Arabidopsis thaliana: one gene and its partners. The protein of the gene in region 1 interacts with the protein of each later gene in a pairwise test. Each region holds a gene or a part of one and is shown in the gene's direction. Other genes may lie near its edges.

The links.
Region 2: the proteins of DIS2 (region 1) and ARPC4 interact in binary tests that used the Arabidopsis thaliana proteins (3 or more experiments, as listed by UniProt).
Region 3: the proteins of DIS2 (region 1) and WAVE2 interact in a two-hybrid assay, tested with the Arabidopsis thaliana proteins (one study listed by BioGRID).

Annotation. Positions count from the first base shown.
Region 1 is NC_003070.9:10,955,443-10,965,862, forward strand, and holds DIS2 (Arp2/3 complex, 34 kD subunit p34-Arc), read left to right. Parts: upstream 1-5,465; 5' UTR 5,466-5,663; coding exon 5,664-5,725; intron 5,726-5,915; coding exon 5,916-5,982; intron 5,983-6,075; coding exon 6,076-6,283; intron 6,284-6,378; coding exon 6,379-6,536; intron 6,537-6,639; coding exon 6,640-6,717; intron 6,718-6,795; coding exon 6,796-6,928; intron 6,929-7,024; coding exon 7,025-7,116; intron 7,117-7,242; coding exon 7,243-7,299; intron 7,300-7,369; coding exon 7,370-7,435; intron 7,436-7,521; coding exon 7,522-7,557; 3' UTR 7,558-7,789; downstream 7,790-10,420. UniProt on the Arabidopsis thaliana protein: Functions as actin-binding component of the Arp2/3 complex which is involved in regulation of actin polymerization and together with an activating nucleation-promoting factor (NPF) mediates the formation of branched actin networks.
Region 2 is NC_003075.7:8,152,414-8,162,833, reverse strand, and holds ARPC4 (binding protein), read left to right. Parts: upstream 1-6,043; 5' UTR 6,044-6,117; intron 6,118-6,466; exon of another isoform or gene 6,467-6,507; 5' UTR 6,508-6,587; coding exon 6,588-6,590; intron 6,591-6,762; coding exon 6,763-6,828; intron 6,829-7,161; coding exon 7,162-7,214; intron 7,215-7,323; coding exon 7,324-7,351; intron 7,352-7,449; coding exon 7,450-7,524; intron 7,525-7,740; coding exon 7,741-7,845; intron 7,846-8,242; coding exon 8,243-8,336; intron 8,337-8,665; coding exon 8,666-8,772; 3' UTR 8,773-9,027; downstream 9,028-10,420. Other genes in the region: PAKRP1 (phragmoplast-associated kinesin-related protein 1), read left to right, coding at 71-216, 847-996, 1,078-1,207, 1,283-2,479, 2,593-2,691, 2,776-2,928, 3,001-3,789, 3,902-4,189; AT4G14145 (cytochrome C oxidase assembly protein), read left to right, coding at 9,743-9,942, 10,048-10,174, 10,258-10,335.
Region 3 is NC_003070.9:10,189,561-10,199,980, reverse strand, and holds WAVE2 (SCAR family protein), read left to right. Parts: upstream 1-4,767; 5' UTR 4,768-5,080; coding exon 5,081-5,217; intron 5,218-5,691; coding exon 5,692-5,855; intron 5,856-6,257; coding exon 6,258-6,381; intron 6,382-6,474; coding exon 6,475-6,604; intron 6,605-6,692; coding exon 6,693-6,760; intron 6,761-6,838; coding exon 6,839-9,017; intron 9,018-9,141; coding exon 9,142-9,234; coding exon of another isoform or gene 9,235-9,261; exon of another isoform or gene 9,262-9,334; coding exon 9,335-9,451; intron 9,452-9,578; coding exon 9,579-9,629; 3' UTR 9,630-9,844; downstream 9,845-10,420. Other genes in the region: AT1G29180 (Cysteine/Histidine-rich C1 domain family protein), read right to left, coding at 1-353; AT1G29179 (cysteine/histidine-rich C1 domain protein), read right to left, coding at 403-1,119. UniProt on the Arabidopsis thaliana protein: Involved in regulation of actin and microtubule organization. Part of a WAVE complex that activates the Arp2/3 complex. Regulates trichome branch positioning and expansion.

The DNA of each region.
Region 1 (10,420 bases):
ATATATGACACGTATAAGGGAATCAAACTCGTCATTTGCATCTTTCCATGTGTTACGTGTGAAAGTGATTTGTCTGAACCAAGAAAGTCCTGATGGTATACTATTTGAGACTTTAAGAGTAGATTATACTTTATGCTATCATTGAGTATATTTATTCAATAATAGTAGTTAAAATATGTAGTATACTTTGTAATATATTTGTAATTTGAAATATATTACAAATAGTCAAATAGTGATCAGTACAAAAGTATTATGAACGAGTATTGTAAACAAATATTTTCGAGAATGGTAAACTTAAACAATGAGTATCCAATGTGACGAAAAAAAAAGTAACCAATGTTGAACATGCATCATCTATCAACCTTGCCGAATGCACTCAACAAACCAAAATATTGATGATTAAGTGAATATATTAAACCTCTCCCCAAAAAAAGGTTTTTAGTTAAACTTAAACTGTTTTTAGGTACATTAATTTTTTTATTATATAAAATGTAGAGTTTGGTTGTATATTAATATAAAATAACAAATCTTGTTTAAGTGCTCCCGTTCTGCATGCTAAAAAATATATTGTTTAAAAAAAAAGATATATATTGTTCATCAAATATTCAAATATATGTATTATGTAAGGTTTCATGAAAGTAAAAACAGACAAATTCTCTTATTTTAAATGTTTAATTTTATTGACTAAAATAATTTAAATACGAATACGACATTGTCGTTTCAAAAGGTTAATCTTATCATACAAAAAATGAAAATTGTGTTTTTGGAACTTATTAATTTCCTAGAGAGAAAATATAAATTTAAAAACAAAGTAATACTAGTTCACTTGTATGAACAAAATAGTTTAATCAAGAAAAATATATAATGCATTGATGTGATGAAATATAATGTGGTTAGAATGAAAATCCAAAAAAAGGTTGAGAGAGAGATTAGAGAGGAACCAAAGTGAATGTCGGAAGATACAGGAAGGAGGTTGGTCCGTTGGTGTCGGCTACTAACGGTTGGGCCACGTCATCTCATTTCATACCCTGTTGGCCCCACATTTTGTTGACCTACTGACAAAGTGACAGTTGACCGTTCTATATTACGGGACTGGCCCCCACGTTTTCTATATCTTTGCCGACAACTACCCTTTCTTTCTCCTTTATTTCCAATTTATTTTTTATTTAGTTTCTCTAAAATTTAACACATTAAAATAATAGAATTGTTAGTTTGAAAAATATAAAATAATACATGTACTGTTGCGTTACCTATAAATCTATGATATCCATTTTTTTTTTTTGATAAAATAGCCAAATGAATATTGAACTCAGTATTTTCATAACAACATCCAAACAAAATTAGTTGTATTAGTTTATTAGTGACTAAGATTCGGTTATAGAAAAAGTTGAATATCTTAAGTCAGGTGGCTATAATTTAAGCCAAACTATATAAATTTATTAATTATGTATCATGTTTTCTTATTTTCAAACTACAGTAAATGATTATCTATATCAGTAAATGAATATAAATAAGTTAGCAAAAATCTAATCTAATCAAGTGGTTGGATTTTTTTGACATGCATGGAGTTAAGAGATTAGGGTTCAAGTTCTTTTATTAAAAATTTAATAATACTGTAGATCCTTCATTACTGCAAATATTTTAAATGCGAAGAATGCACTACTTTCATTTAATTTCAAGACTTATTTGGATTTTGGTATTAAAAATTTTAGTTATAAAAAAGAAATATGAACTAATCTGCACATTGAAAAAGGACGAGGATCGAACATATACAAATGCAACATATAGGTCCAACAACATGGAATTAACATTCGATAGTTTTCCACCTATTAATAAAGAATTATTTAAATATTAGGTGCAAAAACTCTTACTCTTAACACCAAATGTAAAATCAAAATAATTTTCTAGTTTTACAAGTTACAACACATATATCACACTCCAATTTTACTTCCCCAAAAAAACTTACAACGCATACAAATTTCCGGATTTGAATATAAATATAATTATGACATATATAATAGTACGATTATTTTCTTTAAAAAAAAAAAAAGATTATAGTTGGTTTTATCAGCACATGTCTCTAGGTTATAGGCTTTGGTTAAAAAGGGAGTTTATATTAGTACTAAGTGTAAACAAGTAATTTGTATGCAAATTATTCATTTTTGCCTGATAACAATTTTATGCGTGGTCGCTGTTGTTAAATTAATTAGATTTGAAGTAATGGTTTATAATAAAATCGAGCCGTGTAAAATTCGCGTTGATGAGTCAATGCATCGTCACGTGAGATCTTTAAGTCTTAACCACTCACTGCGTTACAAGATCTCCAAATCAAACAAAATCTAGTTTAGTTTGCGGTGAAAATGAGATAAACAAAACAAAGGGACCACACTAATCCAATAAAACAAAATTTTTTTTTACTGTTGATAAAACAGGTTCCAAATTATTGTTGCTTCCTAAACGTTTTGCGATTAGTGCATAACAAGTGATTGATATGATTAGTGCTGAACAAAATGTATTTGTCAACAAGATGAAATGATAAAATTATATATCTTTTTGTTACAGTAGTTAAATCATTTAATATATCGACTCTGTTTAATTAGAACTAAACTAAAATGTGAAGGTTTCATTGGTTTCCATTTAAACCTGTGACAATAATCCCATGTAGTATATATGCGATAATGACCACCTACTGCCACACAAATGCAATATATACATACACATGCATACTCTTGCAATAAACTATTTTCGCCACTAATCATGCTGCTGTATTATGATGGTCTGTAAACCAAATTATATAATCATATATTGTCACTTTTACTACCCTTTCGTAGAATTATTTTCTTTTAAGATAATTTGTCCAAAAACATCACGCATGACTCATGATTGCTACATACCTGAGAAAAGCTGAGATATTTATTGCAAAATATTAATATTTGGTACGACTAATTATCTGGCTGAACATGAGTGTACATAGAATATCCACGTTAATGTGGTTCGAACCTAGATTAATAATAGAATGATCAGTACTTGTTGTATATATTATATAGCTAGCCATAAAACGTTACAGAAAGAGCGTATAGAAGATGAAGTAGAGCATCCCGTGATGGGCAAACTAGAAATTCGGTGGTTTCTCCGACATATAATGAGACAAAATAAGGTTCGAAATTAAAGTTAGTCCATGTGATCACTCGGATTCACGTTCATTATACGAATATGAATGAATCTGTTTCAAACATTTAGCACATGCATGTGACATGTGATTTTACTTGGTTTGATAATTTACGTGTTGCATTTTGTAACACAACTCTTAAAACATCTGGGTCAACATATTAGACTATATAGTTGTGTTTATATATGGTCTATCGTCTAGAATTACGGAGCTATTTGTCACGGCCCACAAGTGCAATGAAATGAAATTTAATTCATAAGTTTAGATTATCCACTGGAGTATGTATACTGTCCTACAAGAATCTTTCACTTAATATACATAGAAGTATTTTATATTATATAGACGTATATTAGTCACTTTATTGACGTTTACAGAATATGAAAAAATGATGGGCCTTCGCAATTGTACGTACTCGACAACATGCGTGGCGATGACTCACCTTATCCATATTTGATATTACTTTTTCTAGTACTCCTTGTTTTTACATCACTTTCTGGTAATATTTAATTAGAAATTTAGAACCCTAGACTTTGACACGGTAAATTTTAATAATAATAATATATAGTTGTATTAGAACAGTTAAGAAGTCTCACGAGTTCATAATCAGTTTTGCTTACTAGCTAACTGTATAAATAATTATGCTGGAATCTAACAATTCAAAATTAACTTTGCTTGAGAGTTTTATACCAAACACAAAAGTACAATTTAGTCTAGACTCTAGAAAAGATAAATTCTTATTGCGAAAAATAAAAATTGCAATATATATACAATAGAAGTTTTGGGAGGGATGGTTTGGAAGTTTTAACTATCTCCATGACTCGACATATAAAAATGTAAATATCATTGTTCAGCTAAATGAGCTACCATCGATTAGTTAAAAATAACATTCTTTTACGTCAACCAATCTATGGTTTAGGGGTTAAAATTTTCACTCTCAATATAAGAGGAAAGGTTTAAGTTTTTATCAAAGTTTTCCGGTTATAGAAATAACGTACGTACGACTGTTTTCTTTTTCTGCTTTTTTCAGATTTTCTAAAATCAGTACTTGGTCTTATATATAGATCGATATGCAAATATGCAATGGCGAAGATACGTCCCTAGCGGCTCCTCTTTTGCCAAGACCATGTCACGATCTATCTTACAAACGTTACTCATTTTACTATATCTACTTTTTTCTCCCTAATATAAATATAACTTCGCATATTTATTCATGAATATTTATGCTAAGAAAAGCCATCACATGCATTTATAGTATGTAAGCTTATGTCGATGCAGTAGGACCATATCCGTATATATGTGTGTGCGTATAGATACGTGAGATAGTTTTGCTTTTGAGGCTCCTTCATCTCTCACATCCGTCTGCCCACGATCAATTTCAAAATAGACAATTTTAAAGCTAAAAAATAATAATTTCTTTTTATATGTAGATGTAGCTTTCATATCTAACCTAAAAATATTTGTCGTCAAAGTAAAAAAACTTAATAAGAATATTATTTAAAGAGCTTTAAACTAATATTAACTATAAATCGTTCGTATACTATTGTTCGTTAAATTACATTTAGAGACTATACTAGTCTACTTTAATATCAATAAAAATAAAAACTTCACATGCATATGTTATTTGTCTTTATCCCACTCTGGCCAATTTAAATTTGAAAATATACGTAGACTTATAGATCAAATATCTTATCTTTTCATTGTTGAAAAAACTAATGTAACATTCTAATTAGTTAAATATCTCCACTTACAAAAAGAAAAGAGCCATATCTTATCCAAATTAATCTCTCAATTTTAAAAGCACACATTAAACGGTCAAATTCCAACTTTTGTTAGATTAAAATATTATGAAGACGTCAGATAATACGAAAACATTGCTCCACTAATTTTTGTCGTTTATTTCCATTCAAATAATCATATATCTGGAATCTAAAATATAAAATATCATTTAATTTACGTGCTTATTTTTTTTTTAAAAACCTTCGTCAGATTACAATCAACATAGCCAGGTATAATCAAAAGCCAGAGAAAAAATAATAATACAAATGTTAAAATCTGAAGGAAAAAAAAAAATCTAGAAAACACTACTAGTTTGCCACTGTCAAAACAAACATACAGATATTTGCAACATTAAATATTTTTGAAACGTTTAAGCTCAAATTGTATATTTATGAAATGGGCTCAGCTTATACTACATAGTATTTACATAATTGGGCCTATGGGCCATTTAAATTCATAAAAAATATAAAGTACAGAAATAACGAAACGGCGTCGTTACACTTAGCTGAGTAGCTGAGTAATAAAATTGAACAAATTAGTAAAATTCCAAAAAGTTATCGAAGAAACGTTCAAGCTGTGACAGAGAATCTCGGTCGTCTTCGTTTGTCTCCGACGAGCTCTCTTTCTTCTCCGATTAGATCCCGTGAGAAGAACTCAAAGGCTCTAGGGTTTCTCTGTGATTCAGTTAACTCCTTTAGATATCGTAAGAAAGTAATCGATGATACTATTGCAGTCACATTCAAGGTTTCTTCTTCAAACGCTATTGACGCGAGCTCAAAAGTAAGTGCTTTTCAATTCTTAATTAGGTACACTCTTAGTTTTACCTAATCTACAATAAGACCCATTTTTTATTTTGGTCGATTTGATTTTGATTTTGTGAAGAAATCTGAAACATTTTGGAAGAACTGGGTTTTGTAGAATGGAACCAAAGTTCAATACTTTGCTTGATTTTGTTTATGTTTTGGTTCAGTCTTGATAAAGCAGTGGAGCTAGATTATCAATGGATTGAATTTGATGATGTTCGTTACCATGTTCAGGTGTGAATTTTATACCAACATTTGAGTATTTGACCTCTGAGATCCATATGATCTTGTTCAATGTTCTGAGACTATATGAATTTTGTTTGATAGGTGACAATGAAGAATCCAAATCTGTTGTTGCTTTCGGTTTCGTTACCAAATCCACCACCTGAAGCAATGTCCTTTGATGGACTTCCTTTAGGAGCTATAGAAGCTATTAAAACCACTTACGGGACAGGTTTTCAAATACTTGATCCTCCTAGAGATGGTTTTAGTTTAACCCTCAAGCTCAATTTCTCTAAAGTTCGTCCTGATGAAGGTTTTTAAACGAGTCTCTTTCTCTAATTGATAAGATGTTGTTTTGATTTAGATGTTGGTTTTGTTCTCTAATAGAAAGTATCTATGTTTTGGCAGAGTTATTAACGAAGCTAGCTTCCATTAGAGAAGTGGTGATGGGTGCACCGTTAAAAATCATTTTCAAGCATTTAGCTTCAAGGACGGTTGCTCCTGAGCTGGATAGGCTTGTAGCAATTATGCATAGACCTAACGAGACGTTTTTCCTCGTGCCTCAGGTATATATATACTCTATAGGTCTTTCGTATGTAGCCATTGAAGTAGGTTCTTATGATTAGTAAGAATCTAGAGAGTGATAGAGAACTTAACTGTGTATCACAGGCGGATAAAGTCACTGTGGCATTTCCTATGAGATTTAAAGACTCCGTAGACACGATTCTGGCGACTTCTTTCCTTAAGGTGACAAAATGATCAAAGCTAAATTTTCAAACAGGTTTTGATTTCTGTAGTACTGAAACTTTGGATATAATGATATAGGAATTTGTAGAGGCGAGGCGTGCTGCTGCGCTTAATACTGCTCCTTCTTGTTCTTGGTCTCCAACCGCACCGCAGGAATTAGAGGGAGCTCCTAAAGAAACACTATCCGCTAATGCCGGTTTTGTAACTTTTGGTATGATCTTTCTAAAATATATTCTGTTCGAACTCAATTTGCATTGGTAGTACCAATCTGAAAGAAACTAACTTTGAGATTATCGATATATCGCAGTCATTTTTCCTCGGCATGTGGAAGGGAAAAAGCTCGATCGTACTGTCTGGAATTTATCGACCTTTCATGCTTATGTTAGTTATCACGTCAAGGTTCATATTCTTTATCGAACTTTCATGTTTTCTACTTTCATATTCTCTAAATACCAGAACTTAGTCTCTCTATCTTAGTATGGATTTGTAAAACTGAGTTTTTGTTCGTTTGTTGTTATATCACAGTTCTCAGAGGGATTTATGCACACCAGGATGCGGCGTCGCGTGGAATCTATGATTCAGGTAAAACACCAAACTCATTACATTCGACTTGGATATGCGTTCTTTAGTTAACAAAATCTTGTTGTCTCAGGCTCTGGATCAAGCTAAGCCATTGGAGAAAACAAGATCGATGAACAACAAGTCATTTAAACGGCTAGTAAGTTGCGAAACAATTTGTTTTTCGACAGACTTTTTCTTTGTTTGTTTGCATTGTTTTTGAGCTTTGTTTCCTCTTCCTCACAGGGACTCAACGAGGTCAATCACACCAACTCGAAGTAGTTGGATTTCTCACGAAGCAATTTTGTAAAAACTTGTGATTAGCTGAGACATGTATTTTTTTTACTGGATTAAGTCTCTGTGATATTTATTTTAGTACAATTCTTTCAGATATTTCTATACATCTGATCTTGCTAAATATTTGAACAAATGTATAATGTGAAAATTGTAAGAAACTCACCTTGATATGGACTGTGTCTGGTCTTGATCTAAACATGGTGTTTTCAACAGAAAATAAAGTTTTTGTTTTGTTTTATAATTGTTTTTACAAAAATGAAGAAGATGAATCTTTATTGTTCTTCAGATTCTCAGATAGTCAAATTAAATGAAGTAATATTCGTACCAACAAATAGTCGTAAAAGTTGATTTTCATATAAAAACAAACGTTCAATTTATCCTTATACACAGATGTATCAAAGATTTGTAGTGATCTAGTAAGGTATAAGAAGAAGATTCAAAGGTCGCACGAGTAAATTAACGATTCCTTCGTAGTATACTTTTGAGGCCCATAAATTATGACTGGGCATATATTGTTAGGTTTCATTGTATCAAAAAATGAAATAAAAAGCAATTAACTGGCTTCGCCCGGGTTCGAACCGGAGACCTTCAGTGTGTTAGACTGACGTGATAACCAACTACACCACGAAACCTTTTTGTCTTCTTGATGTTGGTTTAACATATTCTATCTTCCTTACTGATCACCTTCACATTTTCGCAAACCATTGTATAATCTCTCATTAGCTCTAAGGACTAGAATATTGTTTCGAGAATGGATAAAGAAGCTGGAATAGTATTTGATATAAATGATGTTTTATGTCTTGCGTTAAAGAAATTTTGTCTGATTATTTTCGGATATGAAGTTGTATTTCACCAAAATCCTTTTAATACTAGACCATAATATCGATTTGATAACATACGATTTATATACTACGGTAGATTCAGATTATACAATATAGCATACAAACTGTGATAATTTTGCATCATACCGATTACCGTACTACGTTACGTTGTCGTTTTGGTGTTTGTATTATAACAGATTCATTTTTCTAGATAATTATGGTTTGAGTTTTATTATTACTTTTTTGATAATGATTAGCTGGGTATCGAATATCGATTACCAAGATTAGGTTTTGGTTTTGCGTAAATAGTACTCCTCCTTTTGGCTTGGTAAAAAAAACATAAAATTTAAATGTGAGTTTGTGGTAATCCATATAAAGCGTGAGAACTATTTTAAAATTTTAATGAAATCACAACAAGGACACTAGATTTATTTTCGCAAATTTCTCGTATTTATCTTATTATTGGTTTTATTCAGATAAGAGAGATTAGAACTAAAAAATTCTACAAACATGGAACCAAACTACATAAATAAAATAATATAAAAGAATAATGAACTAATTATTTTTAAATTATTGAAATTGTCTCTATTTTTTTTTCTATTTTTTTAATGGTTTCTAAGAAAATTAGAAATCTCTAATTTTTCTTCTATATAAATAAAAATAGAGATAAGTTAAAGTAAAATGAAAGCAAAAATAAAGTATAGAGATGGCTTGGAAATGCTCTTAGAAAGATGAAAGTAGAGTAGCATGATGCTCAGGTAGCGGGCGTGTGAGACACATGTGTTTTCTGCTCCTTTCCAAAAACAGATTAGGGTTTTAGAAACATATCGACATTTTGCCTTACTCGTATTTTTGGCATTTTTGCATTTCTTGCTAGTGTCATGAGGAAACTTCCTTTATTTTATGATTCAACGATATCGTTTTTAGCGGTAAATGACAGAGTGTTTAAGTTATTTGCAGTTCGAGATCTTGCTCGACGTGTCTAAATTCTCATCTATATCGATTTCTATTTCTAGATAGCCTCTCTTCCTCGTACTAGCTCGAGGACATCTAGCATATTTGAGAGATTCATTTATGTTTGTCACTGAGGTTCCTTGATTCAACGTCTGGTTGCTACATCTTTAATCGGTTCTAGTTGCGATTAAAAACAACATCGATTTTTGCATGGTGCTTCCAAACCTTGGTCTCCCACTTTTTCGTATTTTAGATTCAGAAGGAGCGATGGTTTTCTAGTTTCTTTTGTATCCTATTGCTCGTGTGATAGTTCTCTTTGGTTGTTGTAGCGGTTTCTATTGGGTCTTTGGTTAGTTCTAATAGCATATGACTTAAAAGGAGAAATTTCTATCGATGAGTCTCTTTTAGCAGCTTGAAGCTTGTAGAAGAAGATAGTTTTAGACGAATGTTGCCAGATGATACGGGATCTCGACTAGTAGTGTCGGAGTGTCTGAGATCACAATGTTCTCAATTTTGGATGATTCACTTGTTTACAGTTTGATAGTGTCGATTGCTTGCTGAAAGTATGTAAGTTATGACGATATAAGTTTTCGAACGTTATCCTTACACCCCGGATGCTCGTGGCAACTTGAAGCTAATAGGCTTAATTAAATTAAAGTGTTGGAAAAGAAATGGGCTTAAGAGATGGCCTAGCTCACGTTGGAGCTCCGGTGGTTGTCGGGTCTGGTCTTGAAAGGAGGAAACAAGTCACTATGTTCTTCACGTCCCTAAAGAATAGGTCCTCTTCGCTTCCTCAACTCCTTGAGAATATGAGTCGTTGAAGTATCAAGTCACCCACTACCTCCTATATTTCTATTTGACTTGGTTTTGATTTTGTGAAGAAGCAAATTAAAACCTAAGTATCTCAACTCTATATAAGAAGGTTAGGCTTCTAAGTATTTGTGGATCCACTAGCAGATTAACACTTGAACGTTCAAACATCTTTCAAAAGCAAAACATCTCCATCAATCTCTCTCTGTCTTAAAGTAAGTCTCGAGAGTATCGTAGAAACTTGTTCGTTAGAGTTGTGTTTC
Region 2 (10,420 bases), on another chromosome or scaffold:
AAAATATATAGAGTAGTATGAATGTATGATGGAATATACGTCTGACTTCTTTAGAATGTACTTTTTGCAGAATGTTGCAGATGGCTTAAGCAGCTTTAAGACAAGCCGAATAAACCTTGTTGATCTGGCTGGTTCTGAACGACAAAAATCAACTGGGGCAGCCGGAGAACGTCTGAAGGAAGCTGGGAACATCAATCGATCGCTCTCTCAGCTGGGGTATGATTCAGAGTAGTCTCTCTTGTTATTTTTGGATCTCAGTTAGCATGGAATTTTCGTTAATTTTATACTGCAGGATGCACTAAAGAACTGACACTTAGCTTCTGCTGTTCTTGTGTCTTCTAGTTTTTGATACTGCGGCAGGCACTAGAAATCTAGTTTTTGATTATAAAAGAACTGAAAATTTGGGATAATGGAAAATAATTTGAAATATGGTGGTAGTAGCTTATGAGGATCTTGTGTCTTTTGAGCAGTGCTTTTTGATATTTAATTTTAGAACAACTATCTCTCCATGTGTTGTTGTCTGATGATTGTCTTATCAAAGTGGATTTATTGTATATCCTTTACCTTTTTGCTGAGGATCTAAAAATACTTTGGGCTTCCCAGAAGTTCATATTTATTTGTTTGAAGTCTTCAGACCTCAAAAATGGCAATTATTTGTCTGCTGATTGTCTTATCAAAGTGGATTTATTGTATATCCTTTACCCTTTTGCTGAGGATATACAAATTTTGCTTGGTAAAAAGAAAAAGATTTGCTTGGTTTGTTCACCAGTCCTGTTATTGGCAGGATGTTTACCACAAGATGAAATTATCAACTACATGTTTACCATATAAATTTGTTACGTGCAGGAACTTGATTAACATCCTCGCAGAGATTTCTCAAACAGGGAAGCCAAGGCATATACCTTACAGGGATTCCAGATTAACATTTTTATTGCAAGAGTCTCTTGGTGGGAATGCAAAGTTAGCAATGGTTTGTGCAGTTTCTCCTTCTCAAAGGTAACGCAGGACCCCTATTTCCACTTCAGCAATTATTTTATCTCCATCTTCTAGAATATAAAGTATATACGAAAACTGCAGTTGCAGGAGTGAAACCTTCAGCACCTTGAGATTTGCTCAGCGTGCAAAGGCAATACAGAATAAGGCTGTTGTCAATGAAGTGATGCAGGATGATGTAAATTTCTTGCGTGGAGTGATACACCAGCTGAGGGTACGGATTCTTTTACATATTTTATAAGATAGAAATATAAATATGAATATGGCTTTTAATGGATAAATTGTGCAGGATGAACTACAAAGGATGAAGAATGATGGAAATAATCCAACCAATCCAAATGTTGCTTATTCCACTGCATGGAATGCACGTAGAAGTTTGAATTTATTAAGAAGCTTCGGTCTGGGTCATCCAAGGTCCTTACCTCATGAAGATAATGATGGTGATATTGAGATGGAAATTGATGAGGCTGCTGTTGAAAGGCTTTGTGTTCAAGTGGGTTTGCAATCATCTTTAGCTTCTGAGGGGATCAATCACGATATGAACAGAGTAAAGAGTATACATTCATCTGATGGCCAATCTATAGAAAAGCGGCTTCCTGAGGACTCAGATGTTGCCATGGAGGATGCTTGTTGCCATACTGAGAACCATGAACCAGAAACCGTGGATAATATGAGAACTGAGACAGAGACTGGCATCAGAGAAAATCAGATCAAGACACACTCGCAAACTTTAGATCACGAGTCCAGTTTCCAGCCTCTTTCAGTCAAGGATGCTCTTTGTTCTTCACTGAACAAGTCAGAGGATGTGTCATCATGCCCTGACTTAGTTCCGCAAGACGTTACTTCAGCAAATGTATTGATAGCTGATGGAGTAGATGATCCAGAGCACTTAGTAAATTCTGCATCTCCCAGTCTTTGTATAGATCCAGTTGGTGCGACTCCTGTATTAAAATCTCCCACACTGAGCGTCTCTCCTACGATTAGAAATAGCAGGAAAAGCTTGAAGACATCAGAATTGTCAACAGCATCTCAGAAGGATAGTGAAGGAGAAAATTTAGTTACAGAAGCTGCGGACCCATCTCCGGCTACATCCAAAAAGATGAATAACTGTTCTAGTGCTTTGTCTACGCAGAAGAGCAAAGTTTTTCCTGTACGGACTGAGCGGTTGGCATCTAGCCTCCACAAAGGAATTAAACTTCTTGAGTCGTATTGCCAGAGTACAGCTCAAAGACGATCGACGTACAGGTTTTCCTTCAAAGCTCCAGATAGTGAGCCTTCGACCTCTATAAGTAAGGCTGATGCAGGTGTGCAGACCATTCCCGGAGCTGATGCAATATCAGAGGAGAATACAAAAGAGTTTCTGTGCTGTAAATGCAAATGCAGAGAACAATTTGATGCCCAGCAAATGGGTGACATGCCAAATCTTCAGTTAGTACCTGTTGACAACTCGGAAGTGGCAGAAAAATCCAAGAATCAAGTTCCCAAAGTAAGAACTGTGACTTTTTTCTAACATAGATTTAGATAGTTATTCACAGTCTTATTTTGTTTCCACATTTCTATAATTGGTTCCTCCAACTGATCGAGTTTTACACTTTACAGGCAGTAGAAAAGGTTCTAGCAGGTTCTATCAGGAGGGAAATGGCTCTGGAAGAGTTCTGCACTAAACAAGCCTCTGAGATAACCCAACTTAACCGACTGGTATGATACTTGCGTCTTTTTCTGTTTTTAATCTCCCTTAGTAACTGTATCCTCAAACATAAATTGGTCCAAACCGTGTAATAGGTACAACAATACAAACATGAGAGAGAGTGCAATGCCATCATAGGACAAACAAGGGAGGACAAAATTATTCGCCTTGAAAGCCTTATGGATGGCGTATTATCTAAGGAGGATTTCCTTGATGAAGAATTTGCTTCTCTTCTCCATGAACATAAGGTAATTGTGGCTTCTCGTTTTGTAAAAGGGTATTTGATTGCATTACCCTTTTACTGACATGTAATGTTGCAGCTTCTAAAGGACATGTATCAGAATCACCCTGAAGTGCTTAAGACGAAGATTGAGTTGGAAAGAACGCAAGAAGAGGTCGAGAATTTCAAGAACTTTTATGGTGACATGGGAGAACGGGAAGTGTTATTGGAAGAGATTCAGGATTTGAAGTTGCAGCTGCAATGTTACATTGACCCTTCTCTTAAATCAGCTCTGAAAACGTGTACCCTGCTTAAGCTTTCATACCAAGCTCCCCCAGTTAACGCTATTCCTGAGTCACAGGACGAGAGTCTTGAGAAGACATTAGAACAGGAAAGACTTTGTTGGACAGAGGCAGAGACCAAATGGATTTCTCTCTCCGAGGAATTAAGAACTGAGCTTGAAGCCAGTAAGGCGCTGATTAATAAGCAGAAACATGAACTTGAAATTGAGAAAAGATGCGGGGAGGAGTTGAAAGAAGCAATGCAGATGGCCATGGAAGGGCATGCACGGATGCTTGAACAATATGCAGACCTGGAAGAGAAGCATATGCAATTGCTTGCAAGACATAGAAGGATTCAAGACGGAATAGATGATGTCAAAAAGGCAGCTGCAAGAGCTGGAGTCAGAGGAGCAGAGTCCAGATTCATAAATGCACTTGCAGCAGAAATTTCAGCCTTAAAGGTAGAAAAAGAGAAGGAGAGACAATACCTGAGGGATGAGAACAAAAGTCTCCAAACACAACTAAGAGATACAGCTGAAGCCATACAAGCAGCTGGAGAGTTACTTGTTCGGCTTAAAGAAGCCGAAGAGGGATTAACAGTTGCACAGGTACGTTATTACATTTTCTAAACATGTCAGGTCACATCCTTGAATAAGTCTGTTGCTTTTATTATTATGCATGCATGTTCTTACATAAAATCTATGTGGCTTGTGTCAACAGAAACGTGCGATGGATGCAGAGTATGAAGCTGCAGAAGCATATAGACAGATTGACAAGCTGAAGAAGAAACATGAAAACGAAATCAACACACTTAACCAACTCGTCCCACAATCTCATATTCACAATGAATGCTCTACCAAATGTGATCAAGCCGTGGAACCATCAGTAAATGCAAGTAGTGAGCAGCAATGGAGAGATGAGTTTGAGCCGCTTTACAAAAAAGAAACTGAGTTTTCAAATCTTGCTGAGCCTTCTTGGTTTTCGGGTTATGATAGGTGCAACATATAATTCTAATATCTATTTTGTGTGTTTAATGTGTATAAAATGGGTGTCTGATTCTGTGATATAAGTCCAATTTCACTCATAACTTGCAACTCATTATGTACAAATGACGCAAACCTCCTGGATTCGTAGAAGATTAAACCAACCTTCATGCAGATCTCTTAGCTTAGACTGCAATCCTAATTCCCAAACAATTCTACTTTTCATTTTCATGAGCGTGCTCCTTCCTTTATCTCGCACTCTCTATATTCTAGTAACAATATTCATATTTTTGGGTATTACACTAAATAGCAAATTACACTAACGGAACTACGTCTATCAACGTCTTCAACGCCAACTCCACGATCGTGACCTGTCCGGACAAATATGTTCTAAGATTGTCGAAGCCCAACTGCAAAGAAGTCAAAGTTTTTACTTGCCACAACAACGTCAACAACCTTTATTCATGATAGTCTCTGTCAGATTGACACACAAGTTATACAGTGTTGTGCCTTGTATTTCTTCTCCGTCGGCGACAGATTTGGACCAAGAAGAAGAAGAATCGGAGACTTGTGCAATCTGTTTGGAGAATATGTCGAGATCTGAGAATTGTTGCCAGATGCCTTATTGTAAGCATTGCTATCATGAAGGATGTGTCACTAAGTGGGTGATTACACTAAATAGCAAATTACCATTGTACCTAAAAACAACTCTTCCATATCTCAAAAGGGTATAGTCTATGTGTGTTAATTACCATTTTTTACAATCAATTCGTCCTGTTCCATCATCAAAGAGTAAATCTAACTTTTGTGACTTTTGAAACATCTTTGTCACACACTAGACCAACAAGTGAGACCTGAATATACCAAAAACATCACACAAAGACTTCTATAAGATCCATATATAATTTTTTTTGAATCTACCTCTTCTCTACTAATACAAATCTGTCCACAAGTTCTTCATCTACCATTCTTTTCACAGACGCAGACTTTTTCTTATGAATAAAACAAAAGATACAAGAAGAAACGATGTGAAGTAAAACATTACTTCCAGAGACTATTAATAACTCCGTACCGTTCTTCGTTCACCATTTGTTTGGCTCAATTTTCACAAGTTCCGAACCTATGCAATATACAACCAAATGGGAATGTCATACTCATATAGTAGATATTAGACATCTTAAAACAAGACATATGTTGTTGCTTTTTGTTTCGTTTTGCATACAGTTGTTGCTCTGTTGCTGACTATCTCTCGAAACCCATCTGAATAATACTCTGAAGATCGTTTTCCCAGAAGGGCGGCACCTAAAATAACACAACGCACAGCTAAGTAAACTTTCAGAGGAACCAAAACAGTGGAAAAATTTACATAGCAACCCAAAGTATCTTCAACATTAAGTACCTCATCTTGAACAAATTCATCACTTGAATGTAGTTAAGGACTCAACGAGTTCAATTGGAATTGAGTTTGAGTCTCTTATAATCTTGGAATGCTCTTGCCAAGAGAAAAGTACTCTGAAGGAAGTCTTGCCTCTGAGCAAGAAATCGACTGCGTTAACTCTCCCAGCTGCAACATCTACGCATGCAAATATGATATATACTACTCATCGGATACAGAACATTCTACAAGAAGCAGAGCCAGTCTTTGCTATAAATGAATACAGTAACATAAACAGATGTGTTAAAGCGCAAGTACCGCTTGTAGTTGTAGATTAGAACTTAGAAGTAGAGCAACCCGGTTCACCGGTTCAATCCGCAGAATCTTGCTGGTATTTGTGGGTCAATGAACATTCCATTTTAGAATGTACCAGATCCGGTCGGAGTGTCTGGTTTGGTTCGGTTTTGACGCATTTCGTTTCACTTATCCGGTCAATTTGATCGTGATTCAATTTTCCGATCGTTGATCTCTAAATCTCCTTACGATCTCTCCTCTCACGAGTCTCCAAGTCGTCCAAGGTATGCAATTTGTTCACGACCAAGGTTTTAGGGCTTTTGATTTGTCTGATTGATTCCTAGGGATCTAATTTGATTTCCCTTTCTCACATTTTCCAAAAGTTTCAGACTTTCAGTAGATTGGCTTATTTCTCTAAGTGGGTCTCTCAATAATCATGATCTTGTTGTTGCTTCGAGTTGATTACATAGAAACTCTAGTCTCCGGGATCTTGCTGTTACTTGATTGTTATTTTGTTCTCTTCTTATCTTAAACATTTGAGAGTGTTTTGTTTTCTTGTAGACATTTTGATCCTAAAGTTGCTTTCTTATTGACGTTTAGTATAAAAAAGTTGGTAACCTAAATTCTATGAAACTAAAGATGCTTTCTTGTTTATGTTTGGATTATTTTTTCAGCTCATAAAGATTCATCGAGAAGAAAGATAAAATCCTAAGTCTGGTGCAAGTCTCGAGTAGAATAACATCATTTCTAGGACATGGTAAGAACCTTGACTGTAATTCTAATTTTGATTCTTCTCATACTTGACAAAGACTCTTTTTCATTCAAACATGTCCTGTTTAGAAACAATTCTTTTAAACAATGTCTATCGCATACTGATTTACTGCAGAAATTGTTTAAAATTTGCTTCCGATGGGTCTTTGATGTTCCAGGCAAACTCATTACGGCTGTATCTAGCATGCATAAAAAATACACTCGAGGCTGCCATGTGCTTACAGGTACAAATTATTTTTGGTTCATGATATCATGGCATAGGTCTCAAAGTTTCCATCTTTATGGTTAAGTTTGTTTAAGGCAGTTAAAGCTTCATGTTGGCGTTCTATCTCATTCATCCACCTTTGGTCTGTTATTCTCTTGTATTAGTTGTTTACTTTTTGATTAGACATGTTGTACCATCATTCACTTACTTTTTGACGTTTTTCTCGCAATATTTGGTGTCAGAACCTACCGATTTCGTTAAAGTAGGTGAAAGGGGCCATGTGGAGTCTTTGAAAACATTCAGCTTTACATGGTTTATATTCCTGAAAGCTTCTATACTTCTCTACTTGCAGAATTTTCCTTGTCAAGAAGTTGAAAGGCATAATAAACCAGAGGTTGAATTAAAGTATGTAAGCTTCTCACAAGAAGATGCATGTGAGAATGGGGTGCTCTTCTTCCATTTTTATTTCAAGCATAGAATCTTATTATCACCATGTGTTTGCTAAATTTTGTAGGACGAGCCCAGAACTTTTGCTAAATCCTGTAAGAAGTTTACTTGTTTCCCTCCCAGTTTAGCGTTGATATTGCATTGTCTTCTTACCTAGGTTTTGTAGTTGACTGCTAAGTTTTGCAACTTGCAGGTTTTAATATGCCGAAATGAGGCTGAAAAGTGTTTAATAGAAACATCTATAAATTCACTCCGGATAAGCCTCAAGGTAAATGTTCATCTTACCCTAGCTTTTCCTTCAAATACTTCCAGGAAGAGCCCCAGTGGTACACTGTTCAACAAAGGCTTTGTGTTGTTTTACTTTCCTGTTTCTCACCGTTTCCTTTGTTTCTTTCTCCTGAGATAACGTCTTGACGAGTCGTGACTTAGTCTAGACATCTGTCTTGTTCTGCTGTTACAAATATTTGTTATCTTTAATTTGCAGGTCAAGCAAGCGGATGAACTTGAAAACATACTAACCAAAAAATTTCTCAGATTCTTGTCCATGAGGGCAGAAGCTTTTCAAGTACTGAGGAGGAAGCCAGTGCAGGTAGACCTTCTTATTGATTCAACACTTAGGTACTTGTGAGTGCTACTAGGTTTTATCTAGAAGTTGCAATGCATTCCCTCTTTTGTCGAACTTCTATTTTTTTTTAATGGTAAATGCATCACGAATTGATTAAACATAACGCAGACAGTATTCACAAATTCTCCTTAATTTTAGCTTTCTGTGCAGGCATTTTTTAGGTTTAGGATGATAGATAGTCTGTATGTACCACACCTTTCCTTTCTTTTTCCCTTCTATGAATCATGAATCATGAATCATCTCACTGTGCGGAAATGCATTGCCTTGGCTTTAGATGGTTTACTGTTTATTCCCCTGCATTGTGTGAACGATCCATTCCCTTATTCCCTTCAATTGGTTTCTTTGTTGGTGTTTTGAACAGGGCTATGACATAAGCTTTCTTATAACAAACTACCACTGCGAAGAGATGCAGAAACAGAAGCTAATTGATTTCATTATTCAGTTTATGGAGGCAAGTCTCTCTCGAAACCTAATCTTTTTATTCTATGACCTTGGTTGCTCCCATTAGTAGCATCCTAACAATCAATATATGTCTTGGTTGCATCAAACCTAATGTTAGTGATGCATCCTTACGTCGTTGTGTTTCTCACGGAAATAACTTGAGAAGTAGTATTCTGAATAGTTGCCTTAACAAAGGTCATTATATCCGTCTTTGAATTTGAATTGTTTCTACAAGAGTCAACAGAGATTAGTTACTCTGATTATGTCCTCCAACATGCTAATCTCCGCTTAAAATAGATTTGAAACTTGAAGTGTGACTATTTTTTAACCATGGAAATTGCAGGATATAGAGAAAGAAATAAGGGACTTGAAGGAGTCAGTGAATACAAGAGGAAGACTCGTTGCTACGGAGTTCTTGAAACAGTTCATGTAAAGCAGCTCTTGAAGTAGTATAATGTAACCCTTCATTGTATCAATCACTCGTTATTTGGTTAAAATCCATCTACTCTTCATTTTGCTACTTTCTCTGTTATTCTAACACAACCAAAGTACCGAGCCATCGGCTTGGTAATTGTAGTGTATGTAATGCGATACTTATCAAATGTGGTCTGTTGATCGTAGATGTTCGAACGTACAATCCCAGAAACCAAAAAGTTGTTTTATCTTATTCTTACCACCAAAGACCAACAAATTGTTCATCTCTGACAGAACAAAGATCCACAACAAAGGAAAAAACGTCGTCGTTTCTTTTACACCGTAACCCAAAATATGAGTTACTGGGCTGGGCCCATTATTGAAACTAATAATAGGGGAATTTATTAATTTGTTTGATTATTTCCTAAAAGAACGAACGACGCCGTATACACCGAGAAGCTCAACGTTCGTCATCACTCTTCTCGCTTCTCGGCGTCTCCATCGCCGTCTCTATCTAATCTCGTCCTGCGTCGACCTAGTGAGCTACTTCAGATTCCGGCCATCACGCAGCTCCAGGTTAGTTTTTATTTATGTCAAACAACGAATCGGTGTGTTGTGCCTAGAATGGAACTGATTTCTGGGTTTAGATTGAGAATTTCTACGGTTTAGGAAACGTTATTTAGGTCATACGAATCTGTTGTTTGTAGAAGATACGACGAAACAAATCCAGTCACGTGAAACAGAGCTAGTATTGATCTTTAACTCTGCTCTATTATCAAATTGATTGAGTCGATCTGAAATTCACAGATTACCATATTTGCACACTATGTTTTGTGACTAATTTCAGAAGAAAATGTTATTAGAGAGTAGAAAATGGATTCCTCAATGCTTATTGTAGTAGCTACTCTTGTGTTTGTTTTCAGGATTAAGAAAAATGATAACAATGTAGTAGGTTCTCACTCTTGCTTTTTCCTTGCAGTTGTATGCTTTGAGAGTTAATACAAAGATGACAACAATCGAAACCGGTCAGAAAACTCAAAAGTCTTCTCCTTCCGGTTCTGGTACTACCCCTACTGGTACTCTTAAGCAGTCATCAGCATCGTTTAAAAGGTGGGGAAGGAGACACCCGTTTGTAAGATATGGACTTCCGATGATATCTCTCACTGTATTTGGAGCCCTCGGACTCGGCCAACTCCTTCAAGGCAGGTCAGTTCTTTCTTGATTGGAAAACCTCTGAATCTATAAATGTCTGGGGAAATGTCAATGATTCTGTTTAGAATTCACCACATATGGTTTATTTGGTTAGTTCAGTAAGGATATTGCAAAGGTAAAAGATGACCAAGAATGGGAGATTATAGAAACAAGAAAGGCACTTTCGAGAACAGGACCTGTCGATGCCTATAAACCTAAAAACACATCCATTGAAGATGAGCTCAAGGTAACAAAGGATATACGCTCAATTAGACTGCATAAAAGCTTTGATGAAACACTAAAATCTTGACTGGGTTTTGTTTAACGCAGGCTATGCAAGAGAAGGTGGACATAAACACGTACGAGTACAAGAAAATTCCAAAGCTAAACGAAAGCAAGTCGAGTTAAGAAGAGTCTTTGTATAAGATTAGTCTTTTTAGATGTGTTTCAGTTTTAAATGACTCTTCAGTTCACATAATCGCCCAAGTACAAA
Region 3 (10,420 bases), 770 kb from region 1:
CTTGAATGTGCTCCGTACGAACAATCATCCTTGATGCAAGAATAACCCCCAAAATCGTTGTCGATAGTTTCGCGACAAACACCACAAGATCTATCTCGTTGGTCGAACAAAGGGGTAAAAGAGATGCGATGGGGGTGGCGAGATATCCTTATGACACGTGGTAAGTTGATACATCTTAGATGGACCACAAAATCACAAGGGGGACACATATAGATAGGAGAGCTTGCATCGGCCAAGGCGCACACATTGCAAGTTAAGAAAGCTTGTCTAGGAAAGAGAGCAAGTGTATGCTGATGCCAATTCGGATGGTCTATATACAAGACTGGTGGTTTTTCCGCACAAACTATATTCATAGCATAATCACAATCCGAGCAATAGTAGAATATCTTTTCGAGATCCTCCTCACAACAGAAACACTTTCTGGTTTGAATCCGATATTGAGTTGCTGAAAGATATTATTTGCTTAATGAGTGATATGAGCTCCGACTCTGGCTCCGGCTCCGAATCCAAGTCCATAGAGCTGACAAGAGAGATTAGTTGACTAAAACGTAAAATAAGTGATTTCGTTTTTGACATCTTTTGCGACTCATCCAACTCCTCACCCGTTACCACAACCGTGTCGACTGTGAGTATTTGAGAAATGACTGATATGAGCTTTGACTCCATCTCCGAATCTGAACTCGAACCCGAATCTGAATCTGTGAAATCCGGCTCCGGCGACATGAAAAGACTGTATATTTGAACGATGATCGATATGAGCTCCGGTCTCGGCTTGAGTTTGAATGTTTCAGAGTAGAGTGACATAACCTGTGAATTAGGCTTTGGCTCAGAATCAGAATCTATAGAGTTTTGGAGAGATAATTCTTGAGTAATGAGTGATATGAGATTCCTTAACGGCTCCGGCTGGGAATCCAAATCCATGGAGTTGAAAAGAGAGATTGTTTGAGCTATGAGTGACATGAGCTTCGTCTCGGGCTTCGGCTGCGAATCCAAATCCATTGAGCTAACGAGAGATATTATTTGAATAATAGTACATGATACGAGCTCCAAATCCGAAGAGTTGTCTAGAGAGATGAGCTGAGTAGCAAGTGATATGAGCTTCGACTCGGGAGAATCCATAGAGTGCAGAGAGAGAACGATTACTTGAGTAACGAGAGATTTTGAGTTTGAATGTGATTAACTTAGTGTTTCTGAATTTCTAATTGTAATAAAAACACATCTTACACATATAACAATGTTAGTACTATATACGTGTGTTAGCTTACAGGCTGTCCGACTACGAAGTCAACGATCGATTTATAGATTAGATATGTATAAATCATCGGTAGTTACGTAGTATTAGTCTACAATATTACAACTAGTATTCGAGTTTCTAAACTAATACTAAGAATTAGCCTACGCAATTACTTTCACAAAACAACAAAATCATTATTGAATGATCTTTCCTTTATGAGGTTGTCCGAACGCAAAGTCAATGATCGATTTAGAGATGATAACAGATATAATAGTGCAACTTGCTGGCATTTATATATGTTGAGAATCTATCACCCTCGAACACGTACCAACTGATCACCAAGATCAGGCGGCTAAAAAGTGCACTCGGTCTAGGAGTTTCGAATACTTGAGTTAAAATGAAATTTTATCTAGTTCATATCTTTGTATATAGACTACAATACAAAATAGTGTATTGGCAACAACGAGACCATTACTATGGGTGTTAAGTGTTAACATAAATTGTTTGTATCGTATCTACTTATTTTCATGCTTCTCTAATGATTATATATTTGTATATTACATCATACGTATTTTTATCATCAGGTTCGAGTATAATATTTATTTTGAAACTACAAAGCCACAATGAAATTTGGTTTATTCACTGTTGGTGACTTTCCCGCCACATTATAGCTGGTGTTGGAAGCTCATTAATTTGACTAATCAAAACAACAGAAAACAGATTCAATAATATTTCTTACAACAAGAGCAATATGTTGAATACAAAATATGGAACAAAATATTAATCGAACAAACACCGATATTATATTATTTTGTATGGACAACACTTCATACAACCTATATATGCAAAATGGTCGAGACATATGAATATATGATTGTAGGAGCAATGAGACCATGACTCTAGGTGTTAACACAAATTGTTTGTATCATATCTACTTATTTGCTATCTCTTATATGATTATATATTACAGTCATACATACCCTTATTATCAGGTTTGAGTTTAATATTTGTTTTGAATTTAAAGCTTCATTGTTTGATAAATTAAATCTAAACACTATATGGACGTAAGCCCCGTCGAAAGATAACAGAAGTCTAAAGCAAAATTAAAATTTGTTTTGTTCTAATTTCTTTCATTTCAAAATTATAAAGATATTAATTCTAGAAAATCCATATAGTTATCTCATATATGACAATAAAATATTTAATCAGTACAACTCTACCAAATAAGCAAAATATAAGCAATTATAAAAAACTTATAACAAAAGGATAAATATTTTGTATTCAGTTTAAGAATTTAAAACAAAAATAGATTACCTGTTTATGGAACTTCGGTTTTTGTTATGGTAGAAGGTAGATTACACAGAAAGAGAATAAGAAAGATGATACAAAGGATTTTAGGCAGAAAGAAATAATTATGAAATTGCATGGCATTGTTAACATAGACTAGAACTCTGTTTTGAATGCATAGATTATTTTTTCGAAAGAGAAAAACTTTCATATCACATGATTTTTTTATTTTTTTTTGGATACAATCATACATATAATGTTTGATGGATGAAAGACAAAGCGAACGCCAAGTATAATTTGTTCATAAAAGATCAGATTTTATGATATCTGGTGTTTACGATATCGCCACCAGAAGTATCCGTCATTTTGAAGACCAAGTTGAAACACCATAAGGGGTTGAGTTTGACAGCCTCCCTGTATGGCTTCCTCCCACTTCTATATAACACCAACAACTCTTAGTTATGCTTCTTCTTCTTATATTAGTTGAGAATGAAATTAAGATTTTCTTCAATATCAAAGTTGGTGTTTTAGATACAATTGAGTCTTATTATGAGGTTTTGGGTTCTTTTGAAATCCTTTGATGTCTCTTCTTCCATGCAAGTTCGAATTGTAGGATACAAAAAAAAATGTCTCTCTTCTCTTGTCAACTTGAACAAAACCACTTGGAAGATGATTTTCCGTGTTCTATATGCTTAATGACATTACTGCTTCTTGATTTCCTCTTGTTTTTAACCCAAATTGGTCTCTCCCCAAAGTATAATCTTCTGGGTCTTTTTCTTGTAAAATTTGGCATGCTCCAAGATCTATATTAGTAGCTATCTCTTTTTTTTTTGGTTTTTGGTGGTTGTTTGCCTTGTTCACTCCTCCATATATAGTAACTCTTAAACTGTCGAAACATTACCGTATAACATGTTTGTTTGTAGTGATTATTTTAATCGATGTTAATATGCATCAGTTGCAAAAAAATGATATTAATTTTGCATCATTGAATATAAGTGATTTATTATTTGTATCAATTTATCAAAATAACGTTAATATTTGCAACATTTATAATAAATAATTTTAAGTGTTTATATTAATTATAATAACTTATAAAATAATACTAAATTAGTTTTTATGAAACAAATATCTTTATTAATTAATATTAAGCGAACACTTAAATTTAGTTGGGATAGTAACTTTACACTTTTTGGACACCATCTAAAACCAGAATTATGTAACTTTACATATATAAAAAAATTATGGAGGTTTTTTTTTCCTTCTGTGGGAGATATGTGGTATGTAAACAAATTGAATAAACAATTATATCAGTTAGTGCAACTGATGCTAAATCTGTAATTAGCATCGGTTATTATTGATTTAAATTTTGTATCACTTTCTAAATGATTAAAATTCACATATTTGTATTAATATTGTGAAAGTGAGGCAAATAGACCTAGATTTGCATTAATTTTAATGAACTGATGTCACACAAACTAATACGACATCAGTTATTGCAATTGATGTTAAATTATAATTTTTGTATCGATTGTAAATAAGTAATTCAAATTAGTATTTTTTAAATTTTTGTTGCAAGTTAATTGATACAACTAACCTTTTTTGTAGTGAGATTCTTGAGACATAATATCCCTGCCTCTTCTTCTTCTTCAATTGTTGGGGTTGTTCTCCCAATCATAAACATTCTGGTGGATGTAAACATAAAGAGCAAGTGATTTTAACTCTTGTATAGAAAACTAGGAGTCTTGAATGCATTGGAGAAACCACTTTGCATCGGATATGCTTAACTAATTTACCTAGTTCCAAGAATTATAAATGTGGAATTCCACGATTACAATTAAAAATTGTCTACATTTATTGTATCATACTAGAACGTACTATTTGTAATATGTCCATCTCACTCGTTGGACTTTGTTTCAACATGTAACCAACCCAACAATTTTATTTATTGACAAACAAACAAATCCTTACTCAAATAACTACAAAACTTGACGAAACATTTATTTGACATTGACATTCTCTCACTTTTTTTCCGAAAACCACTTCATTTTTAAATTACAAAATCGAACATTTATTCTGTAATCAAAATTAGAATTTAATGTTCATATCGTGCGAACCAATAACCTTTCTTTGAACCAAAAATAAAAATAAAATCCTTCTTTTCTCAAAACCCCATCACGTAATAACACACAAAATACAAGGGTAATTTGGTCTTTCTACTTTTCTGTAAACCCCCCACTGGTAAATGAAATTGGAAAGGAATGGCTTGCGATATTGGCAATGTCAATGTCTCTCTCTCTCACAGTCTCTTTCCCTCTCTGCCTCCAAAATTTCCCTCTCTGTTTTTGAGCAGTTAAGCTGCCTCATCAATCTCACTCACCAGAAACCCATCAACAATCATTAACCTTTTTCTCGTTTTCATCAAAACCCATTTTCTCAATTTCTTCAAAAAAAAACCTTTTGATTCTTTCTCCTAATCCTTTTCCCAGCTCTCTTAATGCTTTAGCCACAAAACTTTTTGTATCTCAATGTGTGACAGTTTTGTACCTTTTAAGAGAAAAAATGCCACGGAATGTATACGGTATGAACCAAAGCGAGGTGTATAGAAATGTCGATCGTGAAGACCCTAAAGCAATTCTCAATGGTGTTGCAGTTACTGGACTTGTTGGGGTCTTGCGTCAGCTTGGTGATCTCGCTGAGTAAGTATTCAATTCGAGCTAATGTTGCGTCTCTTTTGGGTATCTCTACTGTTGAATGATTCTTTGAGCTAGTGGTGAAGTTAAAGATGAGAATCATTACTTTGTGTGAAAGTAATTGCCTTTACTTGTTTAAGGTAATCTAATTGGTGTTTGTAGCTACAAATTTGGGAACCCATTTTGATTGCATGATCCTTTGAAGTTTTTGAGTTAAGCTTTAGCAAAAAGGAAGAAGCTTTATTCATTTATGATTCTATGATTGTTGTGATGTTTCTATCAATCATTCTCCATTTTTGCTGTGTTTAGTTTTGTTTCATGAGCTTAGTTTATGTTTCTTAGCAACTCCTTATGTGGTGACTCTTTATGTCGGCTCTGATATCAAGCTTAGTTTGGGTTTGGAGTGATCTCTGGTTGATAAGGGTCATTTTAGCACAAAGGAAGAAACTTTCTTATCGATTGCTTTTTCTCTTGATTAAGGTTTGCAGCAGAGATATTTCATGGGATACAGGAGGAAGTTATGGCTACAGCTTCAAGAAGCAATCAGTTAAAGATTAGATTGCAGCATATAGAAGCTACAGTGCCTCCACTAGAAAAGGCGATGCTTGCACAAACAACTCATATACATTTTGCATACACAGGAGGTTTGTTTTGTCTTCTTCCCTCTTGTCAATCTTCTTATTGTCTTGACCCAAGGTGTCTGATTCTTGTTAGGTTTCACATTAATTCTTTTAATAAATTATGTCACATCCTTAGTTCATTGTAGGCCTTCACATGCTTTTTCACTTACCCTAAAACTAAAACTTTCTCTGACGAGGCTAGTTTAGAATCTGGAATGATTGAGAAACTAAATCATTGTATCTTCTGCAAAACCTTAAAATAGATTAACTTAAAATTGAATTGATAGTATTAGTTGTTTGGTTCCCCTTGGCAAACTTTTATTTATTGTATTGAAACCGTGGAAGTAATGGGTGGTGAGAAAGTGGTCATGCTTGTATTTTTCTTACTTTATATCTTGTGAACTGAAGGAGTTTAATGGGGTTCAGGTCTGGAGTGGCATCCTCGTATCCCAATTACGCAAAATCACTTAATTTATGACGACTTGCCTCACATTATTATGGATCCCTATGAAGAATGCAGGGGTCCTCCACGGTTACACTTGCTTGATAAGTATGCCTCAAGCTAAAATATTTATATCTGATATGTATGTACTATGTACTATAATCCATCATGTTATACTGATTCTTTGCTTTATTTTCTCAGATTTGATATAAATGGTCCTGGATCTTGCTTGAAGCGATACTCAGATCCTACTTATTTCAGAAGAGCATCAAGCAACCTGAGTCAAGGAAACAAGAAGTTCCAAAAAGATAAAAAGCATTGTAAAATGAAGGTGTGGTTCTCAGATTAAATTGGTAAACCATTTTCTGTAGAATTCTCTTTTACTTGACACATATATATCTGTTTTCTGGCATGGACAGAAGAAAAAAACTTCGTCAAGGAGTCGAGATATGTCACGTTTGGCCTCCTTGGCTAACCAGAATGCCAGGTAAATTATAGATATTGTTGGCATATTTAAGTTTCCGTGCACCTAAAGAATAATTAACTCAGACATAGTTCACTCCAGGAAGACATTTGCTTCATTTAGCTTCAGTGGACAAACCTCTTCTACCAAAACCACCTCAACCAGTGACATGGAAAAAAGATATGATTTTCAAGATCATCATTCTCGCTCTTTTGAGTCCAGAAGTGGTTCAGGCTACAATGAATGCCTTTCAACTGCAACTTCTTCACTGAAGACTGGAGAAAGACCGAAAGGGGTGTTCGTTTCATCCAGCTTGACACCAGGCTCTTGCACTATTGCTTCAGTCCTTTCTGAATGTGAAACCGAAGATGCTCATGATAATTTCCAGTTTAGTCCTTCTCAAGGGCAAGCTGCTCGTGGCTCTTCTTGCGTTAGTTGGGATGAGAAAGCAGAGATAGTGGAATCTCTTGGTCTGCAGACAGATGAAGCTTCTGAAATGGTGGAGGCGAACTCTGTTGTAGATACTCTAGATGAGAAACCAAGCTATGGGGAAGGGATAGGTGGAGTTGATTTCCATTCTAAGGACAATGAAAATGATAAATCAGAATCAGGACTACGAAAACGTGCTGGGATTGATGAGGTAAGAGAGATAAAAAATGGTCGGGAGATTGTGGGAGAACCGAGGGATAGTGAACAAGAGACTGAAAGCGAAGGGGAGTGTTTTGTTGATGCGCTTAATACTATCGAATCAGAATCTGAAAACAATCAAGGGCTTCAAACTAGTCAAGTGAGCAGTTCCTGTGGTGTTGCAGATGAGAGGTTGGAAAAGTCAGTGTGTGAGCAAGAAACAGAGCAGAATTCCTACAGTGTCGAAGATTCTTGCAGATCAATGGATGGGCTTATGGCCAACAGTTTTAAAAATGAAGAGAATGCATCGTCAGAAAATGTATCTGTTGAAATGCATCAACAAAATCTACAGGCGGGTTCAGATATCAACCGCTTACAAAAAAATGATCTTTGTGCAAACAAGGATATGCGTAATGATTCTGGTGGAAAAGATACCATCACATTTACATTTGTGCCAGGTCTCGAGAACAGCTTAGTTGATTCATCAAACCCCTTGATTCATCATGGCCTACAGGAAAATCAAGAAACAGAAGCTGAATCTTCTGGGGATCTCGAAGCCTTTAAAATATGGACTAATGGTGGTCTATTGGGACTGAAACCATCGAAACCTCCAGTCTTGGCAATGCCAAGTTCTTTAAGTCCAGATTGCAAGACCGAGGAAAGGACAGTTGGTTTTGCAGAAGCTGAAAAAGATAAAGCAGATGATCTAGTTGAAAATGCTTCACATAGACATGTTCTGAATAATTCAAGCTTAGCAACGCCAGGAACCCAAAATCCAGGTAGTTCAAATGGCATAGTCATGGGTATTGTAGACCAAAGAGAGTCCCATGAGACTTCTTCTGGAGTTTTTGGACTCAGCCACAAGTTTCTTACTAGTGGTTTCCGCAGAAAGGATTCATTTGCACATGATAGAAAGACTGTACCAGCAACGATTCCAGAGAACGATGAAGTGACTACAGAGAGGAGGAGGTTTTGTGACCAAGATATTAATGAGAAAACCTTTATGGACCCCTTCAGAGACGAAGCTCCTATTGATTGGATCACTTCGTCTCCGCCTCTTCAACACATGAAAATATCTCTCAATCCCGCTGACACTCTTCAGGCTTCGAGACTGAAGCTTAAATTTTCAGATGGAGACAACACTTACAATACCTTTTCCTCCTTCCAGTTGCTTCCAGAGACTGGAACTTCCCTTCCTGATTCTTATTCTGACGACGACACTTTTTGTAGATCATCTCCTTACATGTCAGATACCGATTATCTTAGCGATAATCACTCCTTGTCAAATTCTGAGCCGTGGGAAGAATCCAGTGACAGCCATGGAAGAAAAGAGCAAGAACTATATGATTCTTTCCACGAAAGTAGGCATGTTGATAACAATGCTGAAGCTTCCCCTCTAGGGATCAAATCAGAAAGTTCTTGCGTCGCCGTAAACCTCTCATATCTCCAAAATCCTGCTGAGCCCTTACCACCGCCATTTCCACCCATGCAATGGATGGTTTCAAAGACACCTTCAGAGAAAATGGAAGACAAAACACAGTCCCTACAACTACAAGAAGCTCTCAGGTTTGCGTTTGAGAAGCATATTTCATTGCCTACAGCTAAGAACGAACTGCCTAGCATGGTGACTTCTGCTCCTAAACCAGAAATTAAGGTATGGAGAAGATTTTGACTCTTTCTTCCTACTTTTCTACAGTGTGGGTCAGTTCCATATATTCCAGATGATCGTTTTCAATATAGTTCAAATTACGAATCTTAACAAGCATATGTTCTCATAGGCCCATCTGAAGAATAATGTCAGGGAGGAGAAACAAAGTGCCAACGCAAAGGAGACTGAAACTGGAGACTTCTTGCAACAAATCCGAACACAAGTGAGTGCAAATAGTTCCTTTTTGTGAAAGAAAGTTATATTCTGATGCTTGATTTGTTATATCATCTTTTGCTACATTCTTGGTTTCTTTCAAATCAAAGCAATTCAACCTTAGGCCTGTGGTCATGACAACGACATCATCGGCTACTGCAACAACTGACCCTATCATAAACACTAAGATCAGCGCGATTTTGGAGAAAGCAAACTCAATACGCCAGGTTCATCCTCTAACTTCTGCATCTATATATATCCAAAGCAAATCTAATCTTTATTTCAGAATCTAAGTACTTTTTGTCTTAAATCCAACACAACATTATCTATCACTCACTCTTTTCTTCTTTTCAGGCTGTAGCTAGCAAAGATGGAGATGAAAGCGATACATGGAGTGATACGTAAAAGCCCTTTATCAGATTCCATTTCATCTTTGTAATCTACTCTCTGAACGACATAAATGGAGAAAAGGGGTTCAAGCTAGTCCTGCAAGAATTTTTTGTATTTTGTATCATATCTAATGTGTGGATTTGTGTAGGTGATAGTAAATTTTGTCGAGTGTGATCTGTATCTTCAAGAAAATAAAGTAGTGCAAGAAATAAAAATGAAAGTAAAATCTATAATGCCCATTCATCTTAAGGAAAACTTTCTAGAACTTGGGATTTTAGCCACGAGCTTGCTACAAAAAAAATTCATGACCATAAAGAGCTAAACTTAAATTAGTCATGGACTTTTATCCTAGAGCAACTAAGAAGAATCCATGGTCATAGTTTTTTTTTTTTGTAGTACCACTAAATTTTATAAACAAGATCAACATTTGACTTGATATTACCATCAAAGCAAGTCGGCAATAGCAACATTGAACGACAAAACAAAGTAATGATTCACGTTTACGGTTATTCGATATATTTCAAGTTACGAATGAGAAGCATATGTTCTCATAGACCCATCTTAAGAATATTGTCAGGGAGGATAAACAAAATGCCAATGAAAAGGAGACCAAAACTGGAGACTTGTTGCATCAAATCCAAACACAAGTCAGTGTAATCGATTCTTCTCATGAAAAAAAAAAGTATTTGGATTCTTGATGTTATATCATCTTTAATTGCATTCTTGATTTCTTCCATAGCATAAATATTAATTCAACCTGAGACTCGTGGTTTCCACAACGACGGCCCTACCATCAAAATTCAGAT